Saccharomyces cerevisiae S288C: one gene and its partners. Changing the gene in region 4 together with the main gene of any one other region gives a genetic interaction. Each region holds a gene or a part of one and is shown on either strand. Other genes may lie near its edges.

Evidence for each region.
Region 1: mutations in TPM1 (region 4) and SLT2 together harm fitness more than expected from each alone (negative genetic interaction), as found in Saccharomyces cerevisiae (7 studies listed by BioGRID, with this or other methods).
Region 2: mutations in TPM1 (region 4) and TLG2 together harm fitness more than expected from each alone (negative genetic interaction), as found in Saccharomyces cerevisiae (5 studies listed by BioGRID).
Region 3: mutations in TPM1 (region 4) and BCK1 together harm fitness more than expected from each alone (negative genetic interaction), as found in Saccharomyces cerevisiae (5 studies listed by BioGRID).

The regions. Positions count from the first base shown.
Region 1 is NC_001140.6:168,381-172,371, forward strand, and holds SLT2 (mitogen-activated serine/threonine-protein kinase SLT2), read right to left. Parts: upstream 1,965-3,991; coding exon 510-1,964; downstream 1-509. Other genes in the region: YHI9 (Yhi9p), read right to left, coding at 1-181; RRM3 (DNA helicase), read right to left, coding at 2,419-3,991. UniProt on the Saccharomyces cerevisiae protein: Serine/threonine protein kinase involved in a signal transduction pathway that plays a role in yeast cell morphogenesis and cell growth.
Region 2 is NC_001147.6:290,344-293,977, forward strand, and holds TLG2 (t-SNARE syntaxin TLG2), read right to left. Parts: upstream 1,732-3,634; coding exon 538-1,731; downstream 1-537. Other genes in the region: TOS7 (Tos7p), read left to right, coding at 1-210; ESC8 (Esc8p), read left to right, coding at 2,186-3,634. UniProt on the Saccharomyces cerevisiae protein: t-SNARE that functions in transport from the endosome to the late Golgi and on the endocytic pathway.
Region 3 is NC_001142.9:245,441-252,216, reverse strand, and holds BCK1 (mitogen-activated protein kinase kinase kinase BCK1), read right to left. Parts: upstream 4,963-6,776; coding exon 526-4,962; downstream 1-525. Other genes in the region: KHA1 (Kha1p), read left to right, coding at 1-396; mitochondrial 54S ribosomal protein bL21m MRPL49, read right to left, coding at 5,242-5,727; enoyl-CoA hydratase PHS1, read right to left, coding at 5,973-6,626. UniProt on the Saccharomyces cerevisiae protein: Serine/threonine protein kinase involved in a signal transduction pathway that plays a role in yeast cell morphogenesis and cell growth. This pathway seems to start by SMP3; then involve the kinase PKC1 that may act on this kinase.
Region 4 is NC_001146.8:478,023-480,744, forward strand, and holds TPM1 (tropomyosin TPM1), read right to left. Parts: upstream 1,144-2,722; coding exon 544-1,143; downstream 1-543. Other genes in the region: EOS1 (Eos1p), read right to left, coding at 1-10; NIS1 (Nis1p), read left to right, coding at 1,746-2,722.

The DNA of each region.
Region 1 (3,991 bases), on a different chromosome or scaffold from region 4:
CAGATGGTTTAAATAAAAACGTTGTTTCTGATAAGTTTGTCCAGTTGGCAATTGCCTGCAATTCTTCTTGACTGACTTCATTTTCATCAATTTCCAAGAAGTTTATTACTGCTACTGGATTTCCCATAAAGGGCTTCTCAGTGAATACATCAACTTGTTTGAAAGGTACCATTAAAGTCATATTCTAAGCGCTTGGTTTTTTTTATCTTATCTTCCTTGTGTCATATTTAGACATTTAGTTTAGTATTCTAGGTGCTTAAATAATGAATATTGTCTATAGATGACTAATCATAAATGAACGAAAAGAAAGAATTCAAGAGGCGATAACAAACTTCCGCGGAGTACGATTAAGATAAGCGTCGGAGGAGGAATTTGATATACGAGCTACAACAAGAGCACGTATATATATATATATTTGTATACGTTCATATACATCATATATACACATTGTCTGTAAGCTTACATCTATGGTGATTCTATACTTCCCCGGTTACTTATAGTTTTTTGTCCTAAAAATATTTTCTATCTAATCCAAACTCCAGCTCTTTTTCAAGGTCTAGAAGCGTGCCGTTATCATTCTGAGGCGGAATATCTGCGGTATTTCCAGTGGCAGGTCTCATCTCCATCATACTCTCTTGAGGTCGAGGTGGGAAATCTGCATCATGCCTTGGCAAATTTTGGGAGTGAATACCAAATGATTCTTGTTGTGGCGCAACAGAATTAGACGTGGCCATCTGTTTTGGATAATTTTCTTCACTCGCTGCGGCGTTGCCATTATCCACATCTGAAGGCTGCTGTTGCTGTTGCTGTTGCTGTTGCTGCTGCTGTTGCTGCTGCTGTAATTGTAATTGCCTTTGCTCTTCTAATAGCGGTTGTCTCACAAACAGCCTGAAATCTTGCACTTCTTGTATAACCATTTGTTTTAAGTCCTCCATATCATTAACCGATTCAAAACTAAATTCGAATTTTTCACTACACACAGGTTCGTCAGCTGGATCATGCCATATAGACAAGTAAGGATGCTCCAGGGCCTCATCCACGGTAATTCTCTTTTGAGGGTCAAACGCGAGCATTTGCTCCAATAAGTCTAATGCTTGTGAATTGGCATTTGGGTATAAATTGACAAAAGGTACTTTTGGAATGAAACCTAATTGATGTATGTAGTCCTGAACATTTTTAGAACCAATCCTTCTTAAAGTTTCGTCTGGGGGTGTCCCTAAAACTTGTAATATTTGATTCAATTGATTAACGTAATCCTTTCCTTTGAAGATTGGCTTTCCACCAAGAAACTCCGCTAAAATACAGCCAGCTGACCATACGTCAATCGCCTTGGTATATCCTTGGTAACTCAACATTATTTCCGGAGCTCTATACCATCTAGTGGCCACGTACTCCGTCAAAAATTGACTGTTTTCGACAGGATTCTCCGAATAACCTCTAGCTAACCCAAAATCACAGATTTTCAATTGACAATCTGCATTGACAAGCAAATTGCCGGGCTTCAAATCACGATGCAAGACATCTGCAGAATGAATATACTTTAAACCACATAATATTTGGTATGTGAAACTTTGATAGTGAGCATCCGTCAAAGGTTGACCGGATTTGATGATTTGGTGCATATCACATTCCATAAGTTCCTCATAAAGATATAGTCCATTGATAGACCCGTCTGGATAAAAAACAATATCCATATCATAAAGACATGTAATATTTTTGTGGCCTCTGAAATGTCTCAAAAGCTTTAGCTCACGTAGGGATCTTTTACATAGTAAGGTCTTCGAAAAAACGTTTGTCACTTTCTTGATGGCAACTGTGGTATCTTCGGCAGCTTCTGCAAACCGCGCTGAACACACTATGCCGTATGCTCCATGCCCTATTTCTTTGATAAGTTGAAACCTCTTATCTACACTGAAATCTTGATTGAAGACCTTGAAAGTATGCCTCTCTATCTTATCAGCCATCTCCCAGAATTGTTATACACGCCCTTCAATTATTTCTACTATTTTGATAGCTTCAATAAGAAAATCTGTGGCCTAGATTTGCTGACTGAATGCACAGTTCGTCTAATATATATATATATCTGGCAGACCAGGGTCTTCAATTAAATCTAAATATTTGTGTAGGATCTGATTTCCCTCACTTTTTTTTTCGATATATTCCTGGCTAGATCTCCTTTTTCAGTTTCTATTTTTAACACTGAAACTTTCCATTCTGCCAACATTTCGCAGTCTTCTATAAAAAAAAAAAAAGATAATATAAAAATCGCCGCATACGTAGGCTTAGCTAAATAGATGGCTTCTAGATGAATATTTCGGGATTCTGTTAAATTATACAGATAGGCTCACAAGTATTCGAACCTGTATAGAACAAGAAAAGAAAACTTCAACTAGAGTATATGCATTTATTCGTTGCAAGTCATTTCAAAGTTTCTAAACGTTTATAGAAATCTTTTACTCTTTCATTGGTGCGAATCTTTCCTGGATCAAAGTTTAGGACCTGTAAGGTGTCCATAGTTACCGCTCTTGACAGTGCAACATAAACTTGGCCGGCTTCGAAAATTCTCCTCAAGTCGACCTTTAGTCTTTGAATAGTTTGACCCTGTGCCTTATGAATGGACAGTGCCCAGCATAGCATTAATGGAATCTGAGTTCTTTCTAACCCGACATTTTCTCTGGGAATATCAATGGGAAAGCGCTCTGGGACCATGAGCTCATGTATGTACTTGTTTTTACCCACTGTCCACCTCACATAGGGGAATTTTTCCTTATGCGGAGAGATCTTAACTGCATAGTTTATCAAGATTTTCAAACGTTCCAATCTAGCTAATGGCCTGGCATTCAAATCTTGACGAAACTCCTTTGATTCCTTTAACAAGGGATTACCAATGACCCGACTCACTAATCTCATGTCCATGACAACTTCGTCATCCACAATCTTGTAAATTTCCTTCATTTTCACCACCAGCGATTCTGTAACAAAAAACAAAACTTTTCCCAATGATCCATTAACTAATTCTACATCAGGCTTATTTTTCAACATCATTACCTGTGCATCTTCCTTCAATGCGACAACTTTTTCCACCATTAATGAAGAATCTAGTATCGCTTGGTATCTCTCGGGCGCGTTATCTACAGCTTTAAACTCATATAAATCACCAGGTAGAGACTGTAATTTCTTTACGTTGGATAGTTCAACTTCTCTTCTTGTGGCATACAGTTCTGTAGGAGCAATTCCATCGGCATAGTCTATATCCCTATTTAGGTTCCTTATTGTTTTAGCAATGTCGACAGTCAGCTCTCCGTATCTTATGGCATTTAGAATATCAATTAGTTTGTTATCCTGTTGTCTGAAAACCTTTGTCAGTAAAATCGTTTTTTGAATGCACCGTTTCCACATTTCACTTTCAAAACAAAATTTCACAACGTTATGCTCGTCCTTCTTAGCAACTGGTGGTAGTTGAAAAAAATCGCCTGTCAGGACCAATTGAATACCACCAAAGGGATCGTCGTTCTTCCGAATTCTCCTTGCGATTTGCTCTAATTTATCCAACAGATTACCATCGACCATAGAAATTTCATCAATTATCAAAACTTTTGTATACCTCCATGCGGCCAATAAGTCCTTTTGTGATTGTATTTTTTTCACCAATTGGTCGATAGTTTTGTTCCCGATTCCTATACCAGACCACTTATGCAATGTGGAACCACCAATAGTCACTGCCGCTAGCCCAGTTGAGGCGGTAATTGCAATTGATTCTTTCCCATACAAAGAGCTCAATTGTCTTATGATCGTTTGCAAAATGACCGACTTACCTGTACCCGCACTACCGGTGTAAAAGACATTTGTTCTTTTTTTGACGATTAAATTAACCACTCTCTCTTGCTCCATTGTAAGTACCACTGGCGAAGACGCACTTCGGTGGTTCATTGAGTCCATATTTGATACTGTCTTTCTTAGCAGTGGTTTTATTTTCTTTGGTACTGTGAGC
Region 2 (3,634 bases), on a different chromosome or scaffold from region 4:
ATTTTACAAAGCAATCCTTATTTCAACGTTGCCCCAAACCAAGTGCCACAGCACAGAAATCCGGTACCAGGCGTCGGTTTTGCTCCGAATCCTTTACCAAACCAAAGCCCGATAACACAAGGATATAAGCCTGCCTATAAGAGGAGAATGCAAAACAAAAACTTGCCCCGAGCTACTACTTCACTGAACAATCCTTACGGATTTAGGTAAAAAAAGAAAAATGAAGGTTCTTTTTTTTTTTTTATATTCTACAAATCACAATAACCACCAACTTGTATTAAACCATATTTTATCATCTTCAGGAACTACTTATGCACAATATTCGTTCGCCAGTCTTTACTTGCGGTTCAATTTTATCCCATATAAATTTGTATTTTATTATCATACTACATACTTTATTGAAATCATATATTAACCTTTTCACTTTTCTCAAATAGAACGAGCAACAGGTCATATGAACGCTGACTAAATCTCTCAATTTTCTTCAAAGCATATTATAGTTCAAAATCGCGATGCGGTACCGTGAAAGTTTTGTCATCAAAGTAGGTCATCCAAAGCATCATTCTCAGATTCTGTTACTTCAACGATACTCGGCAAGTTGCTCTCTTCGTCATTAATATGGGTATTACTGCCGTCATCATGACTGTTATTAACTGTTTTATTATCATCATTGTTGTACTTGTTGCTACCATTATTACGACCACCACTGCCACCGCCATGTGGTTTCAACATAACAAAGAAAAAGAGCGCTATTACGCACAATGTTAGTAATAAAATGACTTTACATTTTTGAGTTCTCTTCTGGTAGTGTGTTGCTTTATTCAACTCTTTATCTGCACTTTTTAGCTCTACCACTGTATTTTCCAGATTATAATCAATCCTGTCCACAATAGTCCCCTGGTCAACAACCAAATCTTGCATTTCCCTGAAAATAGTGCTCACTTCTAATACACCCCTTGCCAACTGAGTAATTTCTTCGTCACGTTCTCTCAAATATGCTTCTGCAGAAGTGTCATGAAGCTGTTGCTGTCTCTGCAACGTCCTTTTTGAATAGTCTTCAATATCGAGGCCCTCTCTCTTCTCTCTTGCTGCCTCCTCTTCCTCATCATCTAATAATAGCGTGTTCTCTGCACTGGCCTTATTGCGGATAGGTTTCAAATCATCCTTGTTCAAGAATTTCAAGTAATTATTTTGTAATACTCTGAACTTATTACTTTCAGTTTGTATCTTTTCTGCATAGATCTTCTGTAGATTATCTAGTATAATCAGCTCTTCTCGACTTAATTGCTTACCATCCACAAATTGAGAGTTGTATATGGTCTTTAATCGTTTCATAACAGCGTAACATTTCTGCAGCATCTGAATTACTTTGAAACTTAGATCTTCAATCAGCGCCTCATCATGACTCTTGTCTTCAAAGCCAGGTAACGAATTCTTCCTATAAACCTTCGCCAACTGCTCACTTAACCGTCTCACCTCCAGAAGATAATCATCAACATCCTGCGCTATATCAATAAATATGGGTGGTAACGCATCACTGTGATTCTCATGCTTGTTTTTTCGTTCATCTGTCAATCTGGCCGATATATCGTGAGACATATTCATCATCGGGTATGTACCCATTTCAATATCTTGATCATCGCCCAAGGGTGCTTTCCCAGATGAGAAAGTTATGTTATGAGGGAAAGTCCTACGGTATGATAAAAATAAATTAGTTCTATCTCTAAACATGTTTGTAACGACTGCCTAGATCACAAAGCGATAAAATGTACATCAATTGGAGACTTTCCTGTCTTGCCGTACTTATAGTCTATTCTGCTATAATCTATACGCACTCACTTTACACCTTAAAAGCCCAATACAAACCGGTCCAACAATTATAATTCATCTATAGGGCATATACAAAAAAAAAAGGTAGGTGTAAAAGATAATAAAATACAACCCTATTAGCTTTGATAAAAAATTAGTAGGGTTAGAATGTCATATGGTAGGGTGATATAAACGCGTGAACTTTACGCGTTTATATGTACTAAGTTATTTTCGGTATTAGAGAATACCATATCAACGACTAACTCTTAAGCTTTCGATTGTATGAGCTGAAGAAACGGCCTGCTCATTACCAGGATATCTCTTTTTTTTAGACATCAAACAAGAAAATAAGGAACAAGAAATTTGAGGTACAATAATGACAGAAATTATTGATTTAGACTTGGTCGATGACTTTATCAAGAAACCTATGGTCAAACAACAGAAAAACCAGTCTTCAAAGCCTAGGGTAAAAAGAAGGGGTCAGTTGACCTTTGATGATTTCAGAAACATCAAAATTGTAGAAGAACCTGTTGTACTTTCTCACAATAGTTCAATTGACGAATCACTGGATGCTGCTACCCAAAATACTAAAAAGCGGGAGAAATATGAAGGTACCTGTGATGAAGAAATGAAAACTAAAGAAATGGAGGCAAATATGGCAAGCAAATATTCTAATATCAAAACACATTCGAACGACACTAACAAGGTAGAGTCGATCAGTGAACACACTACTTCTAATAATAGACCATTGAATACATTAAACTGGTCACCAAATATTCCTTTACGATATTCTGACTTTGCAAAGTTTATGAGTGATGAGACGGTAACGGAAAGCAATTGGGCGCCTCCCCTTTGCACCCCTCTCCCATATGCAGGCGATGTTATGAAGATCCTTTCTTTTATCGTCAAATTTAAATGGGTGTTCAGCGACGATCTACTGAACCTGTCATTTCAAGATGTGGAGATAGGACTAGAATTAAAGGTGGCTGGCCATTCTGCGAAGAATATTCGAATTTGTCAGGATAAAATGAATCTACTATTTTGCAGTCTTTTGAGGTTATTATTCTGCTCCGAGAAAAGAGCAGACAACCAAACTCATAGAAATTTCACGCTAAAAAGATTTCTTAGTTTGAAAAATCCATATGGAAAACTGGTTGGCAAACTCAGAAGCTTAATCCAGGAGTGGGGCTTACCAAAAGAATGGCGTGGTAATAGTGATATTTTATCTACTCTAAATTTTAATGGAGGTGGTTTGTTGACGATGGAACCATTAGATAGAATAATATTATTGAGATGCATGATCGATTGGAATTGTAGCTACTCCGCACTTTTCCATAATGAAATTCAAAGGCTCACTCACTTGAAAGGCGATACAGGGTTCAACCATCAAACTTTTCACGCCAGCAGGTTTGCTATGTGCGGGGCCAATAACATATTAGATAGTTGTGAAGTTTTATGCTCTTTGATGAGTCAAAAGTTGGAAAATCGAAAGAAAAGGAAGCCCAGCGACAAAGGAAAACTGAGTAAGATCAATAGTCAGATGAAATTTCTAAAGGGTGTTCGGAAATCATTGAGCGAAAAAGTAACTACAGACAGATTACGAGCTGCAGTTAAAATAAATGAAGAATGGGGTGAATATTTTGCAAACGAATTTACACACACACCAATTGATGATCCCACCGTAGACGAAATTTACAAGTTAAGGACATCAGAGTTTATGATAGCGAGAATTCCACGAGTTGGAGATTTCTACTTACCACCATTCTGGATTGGCAACGAATGCAGTTCAGTAAACACTAGTTACAGTTTCAATGACATGTCAACT
Region 3 (6,776 bases), on a different chromosome or scaffold from region 4:
CTTCTCTTATTGATATGCTATAGAGATGGCTATAATAATGATAATGCATCCTGTAGTATATTTATTAACAGCAAGAATATTGATTTCGCAAAAGATTTGTCAACTGCATTTGCTGAGCATGACTGGCTAAACGAATCTACCATTAAAATTGTGGATATCCCCTTTGAAACGAAAGTTCCAGAAGAAGCAATTGAAAAGCCGTCCTTTATAGAGACTGTGCTTGATGTTGGTTTATCAGATACTGCTTTAGCTGATATAGAGGAGACTACCTTTATTATTGGAGAGGACCTTCCTGATGAAAGTGAGCCCTTCAGCGAAGAGGTGAGGACTGTAATATTTGAAGGGTCGAATCGTCGTTTTGACACCCTTATTGTGCACCATTTTTCGTCTGAATAAGTATCAGCAGAAATTTTTTAATTTTCTTTGTTCTTAATTTTCAGTCATTCCGTCATTCCGTCATCTATGTTTATTGTTCTATATTATTACGTATGCATAAATATCTTAAGTATAGATCGATCCTAATAGCTATTCAGTTTTATTCTCCTGAGAGGTTATCCTTAATTTTGAAGAGTTTAACTTATCATTTGACTTTATAAACTTCGCGAGTCTGGTAGATTTGAAATTGAATGTTTCATTTACTTCACTAAAAGGATGAGAAAGAAGCTCGTTAGCGGTTGGCCTTTTCTCTGGATTTATCTCGAAGCATGCGTCCAGAAAATTTCGTCCGATTTGCGATATCAATGGTAAAGTGTCCTCAGGAATTGGTGGTGCCGATTTTGACTTTCCAATTTTGAACATGGCTGCGACGACTTCTAAGTTGGACCACGGGCGCTTACCAGCAAACATTTCCAGAACGATGCATCCCAGAGACCATATATCAACTTTTGCACTGTAGCCTTGCTTTGTATCAACCATTTCAGGAGCCATCCAGAAGACTGTTCCTCGCATGGTCATATCCGAATTAGAGTATATGTCCTTTGATTTTCTTGAAATTCCGAAGTCACTGATTTTGCAGATACCATCTTGATCCAAAAGTAAGTTGTCTGCCTTCATATCCCTGTGGAGAATACCTTTCGAGTGTAGGTATGCCAATCCTTTTAATACTTGTGTTGTTAAATGTTTGATCAACGGTTCATCGAATCTTCCATACATTCTAATCAAGGATCCCACGGAGCCACCAGCAACATATTCTAAAAACAAACTGTAAATATTGTTTTTATTCTCAAAACCTAAGTATTGAACAATATTAAGATGATCTAAATCTTTTAACGTGGACACTTCAGATCTTAATGCTTCCACGGTACTTAGAATGGCTTCATTTTGTGAGCTATACTTGGGGACCTCAACCTGCTTAACGGCCATCATCTCACCTGTAGTAACGTTTAAACATAAATAAACAGCACCGAAAGATCCCTTCCCTATCATTTCACCCTTCATCCAGGCGAATTCCTTATACTCACCTTTCGAATTTTTGGCTTTATTAATTGACACCATATGGTTTTCGGTCACTTCGACCATTCTTGTACCCCACATTTTGGTGTTCTGTCTTTTTAGTTTTACAGAGTTTTTTCTTGCTAAACTAGCTTCATGTGCAATGGTTCTTATGGTTTTTGTTCTTTTAGGTGTCTTAGCTTGATTCAATGGTTTATTTTTACCGTTAAGTCCATCCTGTATGAACTCGTATGAGCTATCAGGAGGGACGGGACGGGAAGGAGTGCTTGGCTCAGTTCTCGATGAAGCCACATTCTTTGGTGAAAGTAGGCTGTCTAAGGATTTCGGAGATGTTGGTGAAGCTATTCCTTCAGTGATTGGCTTATCTAAGTTAGCCCTTGGGAAGAATTTCTCTAAATTTTGATAAACGACCTCCGGAGATGGTCTAAAGGTCATCTTTCTCTCCATTTTGTCCTGCGTTTGAGAATCATAGAATATTTCGTCAGAATGCGTAGAACTGTTATCGCTTTTCTCATCCTTTTTGTTTTCATTATTAGTCTCAGGAGCTGTTTTTTTCTTGGACCAGATAATGTCATCGGATGAACTAGAATCGTCATCACTATCATCGCTGTCAAACATCGGCGGAGCATCCGCGAATGTTATGTCATTCTCTTCAAATATATCGGCCGCAGATGTCGACGAAACAACTCTTTTTGAGTTACCTCTTTTTAACAATGGTGAAGGAGAATAGAAAATTGAATTTGAAGTCGATACAGTTGAATTTGAGCGATTCACTTTCTGTTTCATTTTCAAAGATGGGGAAGTACTCGTCGAGTCCTGGTCTGTTTTCAACCTACGCATAACATCGTTTGCACCCTTATAAGGTTGCGGTATCAAAACATGAGTCGAAGCAGGAGTATATGAGGAAGTAAGCGAATCAGGAGACGAGCTGCTAGCTTCTATAGGAGATGATAATAATTGTGGCGGCAATGGTTTCGATCTTTTGCTTCTCGAAATTTTTGTACTTGCCCTCACTAGGCGGATCGGTTTATTCTGTTTAGAAGTTGATAAGGTCCTCTGAGGAGAAGTATTTGCGGGAGGCTTGGGAGCTTCTCTTTTTGGTGCCAGTTCTGGTTTTGTATAAGGCGATTCCCTACGATGATTGAAATCAATTTCAGTCCCCTCATCTTTTCTTAGCACTTGAAAACTACTCTTGCTTTCATTTTCTGTTATGGGGGTAGGAATATTTAATTTACTTCCTTTATCTGGTAGGTTGAGTTCTAATTTTGGACTTGTTTTAAAAACCATTTTTGGTGCATTTTCCTCATGAGAAAGAACTTCTTTAATATTCCAATAATTCAATTCTTCAGTTGGATTAGTATTGGAAACTCTGTCATAGTAATAACTCGGGGTTTGGGGGTACCTGCGCCCACTTCCTGATGCATGTTCATCAAATGATGTTATGTCAGAAGACGAAGTGACAATGGAAACATCATCTGTCGATGCTATCAGACTGCTTGTTCCGGACCTCATTGAACTCTTACTTTTCACCGATTTTAAAGGAACATTGTTTTCTGAGGTGAGAGGAGCAGGTTTCGGTTTTTGTTGAAGCTTCATTTGGTCTTTGATATAAATTTTTCCAGAAGTGTTCAAAAACAAGCTTTTTTTCAAAAATTCCAAAGTATCATCTGGAATTGCAGCACCAATATCGCAATCAAAGTCTGTCATATGGAAAGTGACATTTTTGTGATTGATTCCCAATTTTGTGAGAGCAGATTCTTTGAAACTGGATAATTTTGCTACACTTTTTAAGTTTAGCGGAACAAAACTAACATTATCTTTGGTAACCAGAATATATTTATTCTCACTATCATTTAACCCTGTTTTCTTCAGAGGATAAAATTTTTGGTCCAGTAAAAAGTTCTTTACACTATACTTTTGATTATTTACCGGCACTGGAACTGTCTTGTCTGGATTAATACAATCAGGATACGTTTCTTTAAAAGACGCCGTGGTTGAAGAAATTTTAGGTGTATCTTCTGTGCTGATGACCTCCAAACTTCTGTTTGCAGTTTTGGGTATTGGCGGTGGTGATGAAGATGGAGATGGTATATTTACATCTGCCGTTTGTACGGTTAAGGTAGCAGTACTCGAATTCGATTTTAAGGATGGAGTTTCTTGAGACGTTACATAAGCTACCGTATTTGGGCTAGGAACCCCTATTTGGCTCTTTCTTTTGAATTTATTCCATAAATTACCTTTATCATCCGAAGTGGGTAGTGAAGATTGTTTTAAAGGTGAAGACACATTAGTTTCATAGTGTTTAGATTTTCCTTTAGCTAAATTTTCACTAGACAGACTATGACCTTGTGGATTAGGCTTTGTTGGAGCTTCCTCGCCTATTCCACTACCAAAAAGGGAATTTAATAATGACGACTCAGATGAACTACTTTTGTGATGTCTTCTAAATATGCTAGGATACGAAGGAGATGCAGGTGGGCTCGCCGATTTGGTAAGTGTACTGTTAGATTCAATAATTGAGTGCGGCCGAGCCGGTATACTTAACTTGATGTTTGAAGGTGATTTTGCTGAGGAAGCATTGCTCGATGATGAGCCTCTTAGGGATATAAAACTTCTTCTGTATAGTGAACTTGCGCTTTTGGTTTTTTGGTGTGTTGAAGTAGAATGTAAAAAATTCTTTTCATCGGTCTTGGAAGGGCCCGATTTTGTTGGGCTCAATGCAGATTCTGACGTTGATCTAGAATTTGAAATATCCTCTTGCGATTTACTATTTTTTAATTTTGATTTGATCGATTCGCTGGAAGACCTGGAACTTTTAAGTTTGCTAGCGCTCTTCTGACGAATATGGCTATTTGTTACGTTCTTGGTCATTGTTTTTTTCAATAACTGCTGAAACCTGGTATATGAAGCAGTTTTAGTCTGCGGCAAATACTTTTCATAAACAGCGAAATTATCATATGCAAGCAACTTTATAAATCTGTGACCAAACAATTGATGCTTTTTGAAAAACAATATCCAGGATTCTGGAAAATCATGAAATTTAAACCATGAGGTGACGCGATGCATTGTCCATTCATCAGGGTCTGTAGGATCCCACGATAGAATTAGCTTGTCAAAGGACAAACTATTTACGCTATTGCCACCGGAGGATTTCCTCGAATCAGAGAGGCTACTAGGTCCATTGTCATTTTTATAAGAACTGTTTGTAAAGCTCGTTGGGTTTTCAAGCGTTCCAGCTGAGATGTGGTCATCTGTCGTCCAATTAAAGGATTGTTCGATAACTGGCGTGCTTTCGTAAAACTGAGAAGAGGTAGAGTTGGGGGTTAGGTTGGGAAATTGGCTTCTAATATCATCATAAATGCTTTTGCGAGATGTTGCACGAGGGCTTTTGCTTGAACTTTTGGTTGATGCTACCGAACTAGTCGGCTGATGGCCGAATTTCACAGATGAGTTCGAATCAGACCTAGAATGTGTATGTGCTGTCCCCGCTATTTTCCTCAAAAAGGGCATTTGGAGGTGGAGTTGAACTATTTTAATACTATATTTAGTGTTTCGTACTAATGGTCACCCCTCTGCCCTTGTTTTTTTATTTTTTTTTTTGGTGAATCCATTACCTGATTTTATTATTATGCTTACTTTTAATTAACTTGTTGAAATTTCATAGCATTATAACTTAGAAGACGCGTCGGTCTGGAATTGAATGGCCATTGGGGCCGAAGAAAGTGTGTCAAATTTTATTGTTATTTACATGATTTTATACGTATGCGTATATGTACATATCCCTAAAATTCAGTTCATACTCAGTTCTGATATTCTTAAGATTGTCAAATCACCTTTACTCTTTGCATGACGGACCCGTCTATTTCTTCTCTTCGTTACCTCCCTAGTTTGGAAAGCCCTTTTAGTTTTCCCAACAACGGTTGCTTTTAAAGTATACAGAGAAGTATTGATTGGATGACCAACTAGCTTGTAGTTTCTAGATCCTAAAGTTGTTACATCGGTCATGTTTAAAATGTCACCCACCTCCGCTTGCTTCAATTTGAATGGAAGAATAACTCTGTCGCCCTCGGTCACCAAATATGGACGATTATGAATCTTGAATATTGCATATAGTTCATTTGATAATTTTAGTGGAGTTGTATCTGTCTTAGTAGTCTTAGCTTTTGTACTACTGATGCTTGAGGAAGTAGCTAAATTTCTGAATGGATGACTGGTAAATGGCCTATAAATAGGTGTGATTCTGGCCACTGGCCATATGAATTTCAGTTGTAGCATGAAAATTAGAGCAACACACTTAAGATTGTCTCGGCACAGTTGTTTCAGTAGGCTGTGAAGGTCGACTCCGAGTGAGCTTCGACATCTTTCTAAGAGTTCTCTAATTCGGCTACCCTTCGCAATTTTGCTCAATATAAAGCCCGTGCACCGCAAGATACTAGTGATTATGGTTAAGAGCGTTGAAGCCATTTCAATGTGAAGGCTAATATTCTTATAAAAAATACAGAAGAATTTATCTAAAGAATTCAAATTAGTTTCTTCCCGAAAGAGGATCTTAAACTTTTCATGACTTTCTTTCTCTGTGCTACCATGTGTAGGAAGAGCATTGGGAAGCCTGGGATATAAGCGAGCATGGCCGCTATTAAAATTCTTTTGTAAAGTAAAGAATACTGAGATTCAGCTGCATTTAAAGCACAGTAAATAATGCGTAGTTCGCTGGCAACACCAGTGGGGTACAAAATCCAGAACAAATTATATCTTAATAGAATTAAGATCTTTGGTGCGCCATTCTTGAATACCAACATGAAAAAATAATACAAGTATCTGACGATCTCAGTTATAGACCATGCCAGTAATAATGATATGTAAACAACTGATTGAACACCACTTGTGTTTGGCAACAATTGGAAGATGCCGAGGACAACTAGTAGTCTTGAAGACACTTGTGCAACAGTGGTCAGCAATGGGGAACGTACAACTCCTAAAAATGAGTTTATGATCTCGATTATAGCACCACATTGAACAAGGGTAGCGACATTTTTAGTTTGGTAGAAGAATGCTGGCTGTCCAACTTTTGGGTACAAGGAGATGACCAAGTAAAGCAAATAAGACCAACCAACAGCAGAAAGCAAATTATAAAGGGGTAAGAAGGACAATGGTGACGCAAGTTTTTTTGACATATTGTAGAAATTGCTTGGAGTTGTGCTTCTTCTTGTGTGATGATGAGTTATTTTGTATTTTGGATGCTCTTGATGGACCAATTCTGAGTTCGAATAAATTCAACAGAATTTCGAAAAAAAGTACACGAAAAAGAAAACGCCTTTTTCCTT
Region 4 (2,722 bases):
TCCACGTCATCTGGTTTTTTAAAACCCTGAAGAATCAAATAAGATTATTTGACCAAAGGAAGGGAAGGGAAGAGAAAAAAAACTTAAAGAAAAAAGAAATGAGAAACCCTGGTGTGTTCACGTAGATGCACAGACGGTGGGCAACCCAAAACTTAGTCTTCCGATAAACTTTTCAGGTTCTTGTACACGTGGAAACGCCCGATATATATCACATGTAGCTGTGTAATATGAGAATGCCTTTGTCCATGTGATAAACCGTGCAAAACTTAACATGGGAGCAGGCACAAGTGTGAGTCCCACGAACAAAACGCCGCTCGGGTAATAACGCCCAATGTAAAAACATCATAAATCAGCACGCAAACGGTAAAGAACAAAAACATCTTCAAGGGAAAAGTATACAGATGTATAGTCTAAGCTATTGTATTTGTATAAATGGTTCTTATTTTAGTTTCGTTTGCCCATGAGCGTTTGATTTGCTCAAGAACAAGGAACAAAGACCAGCGTGTTGGGGAAAAGAAAAAGAAAACAAAAAACAAAAGTAGATCACAAGTTTTCCAGAGATGCAGCAATTTCGTCCAGTTCCTTCTTTGCGTCTTCGTACTTGACGGTCAATTCCTCGTTCTTTCTTTCCCATTCTTCTCTTTGTTCTTCCAAGGCAGCTACTCTTCTTTCCAATTGATCTGCCTTCAAGTCGGACTCTCTCAATTTCTCAGTGGTTTCCTTTAGCTTGGTGTCGCTTTCCTCCAAGTCTTCTTCCAATTGCTGGTTCTTCTTGGAGAAATTGTCGTTGTTGGACTGCAAGTGGTGAGAGTCCTCGGACAATTGCTTGGATTCAGCCAATTCTGCTTCCAACTTCTCGATCTCTTCCTCCAATTGGTGGTTCTTCACCGTCAAGGACTTGATCTGATTTTCTTTTTCAACGTTATCCTGTTCTGTTTGCTTAGAGTCAGAAAGTCCCGCTTCCAGCTTCTCGATCTCATCCTCCAATTGCTGGTTTTTGACGGTTAAAGACTTGATCTGATTCTCCTTTTCGACGTTCTCTTGCTCCAAGTCCTTGTTCTTCTCTTTCAACTCCTCGTACTTCTCCTGCCATGATTCGGCTTCCAACTTCAAGTTGCTTAGCTTTTCTCTGATTTTGTCCATTGTTGCCTTTTTTGTGTGTATGGGGTGTGAGTTCTACTATGTAGATTTCTTCTACCAACCTAATCTTTTACAGTATCAGAAGGGAAAAACGAACCTTCTTCTTGCCAAGTATGCAGTATGTGATCTCTAACACTTTTCCGTTTCTCGTAGATCGTGCTATGGTGTGCTGATTTTTTATTTTAATGGTTACCCGACTTCTTTACCCGGCTCTCCGTCGGGTAAGATATATGTGCTAGCGCCACGCGATGGCTGGTTTGTCTTTTTAAGTTCTTAATATTTATTTTTATATTTTGATTTTTTTTTTTTTTTTTTTTTTCCATTAGTGAATGACAGCAATGTATTAAGCTGCTGCCGCGCATACAAAATGTACTGCGTTAAATTAGATTAGCTTAAATTAGTGCTTGGTAAAGGAGGAGTGGTTTCAAGTCCGGTGTGCGCCCCACTTTATTCGGGTATCTTCTACGTTTTTACATCCATGTTTCAGGTACTGTTGAAAATAGTTAAGATCGTTCGTATTTCTTAATTCATGTATTTTTCCCTGTTCCTAACTCGCAAACATCAGTTTTCTTGCAGATACGTCTTGAAATACAACCATACAGACAATGGAGACATACGAGACTAGCATTGGGACTCAGTCTTATCCCCCGACTTTGTTCCCACCTCCCCTGGGTACCGGTGGGTTTACCACTTCAGGTTATATACATGCGCTTGTGGATTCTACATCGAACTCGAACTCGAACTCGAACACAAATTCGAACACAAATTCGAACACAAATTCAAATTCAGATACCAAGATTCCTATAGTGCAAATATCGGATGACTCTCATATAACACACGACAGCTTCAAACCATATATGGAGTACCACGATGCTTCGCACTTGAGGAACCGTAACATAAGCAAAGCGGACCAGGTTGAAAGCACTGAAGTGATGGAACAGTTTACGCAATGGTCGAATTATAAGATGAGGTCTCGCTCTCCTACCATAAACGCAAAGCCAATTCGACACACTTCACAACGAAGAACAGACTTTACCAGCAAAAATGAACTCTCCAAGTTCAGCAAGAATCATAATTTCATTTTTCACAAAGGGTTTTTGAAGAGGCAACACTCCATACGCAGGGAAGACAGGCAAGCAAAGGTACGGTCAAGATTCAGGAGCAAGAAGGAGCTGACATCCGTTTTGAACTATATAGAACTGGAACAAATGGATATTGCAAATGTCCTGGCTTCGCAACCGGTAAACTTACACGCTATCAGAAATCTCACTAGCAGGGACCCTGCGGTAACTCCTATCCCATTTTTAAGAAGCCAGATGTATGCAACCAGTAGTCGTCCACCGTATCTAAGGAACCGCTCCATAAGTAGGAAACTACCCAAATCACAACCAGGTAGTCTCCCGACGACTATGCCTGCGACGGCGACGAAAACAATTAAACAGAATTCAACGACCCCAACCACAAGATCTGTTTATAACAAGAATGTGGGGCGGTCCAATACTTCCCCTAGTGTGTTGTACCACCCAAAAAGAAGAGGAAAATTGAACACCAAATCGCATGCAAGAAAGGAGCAACTGCTGTT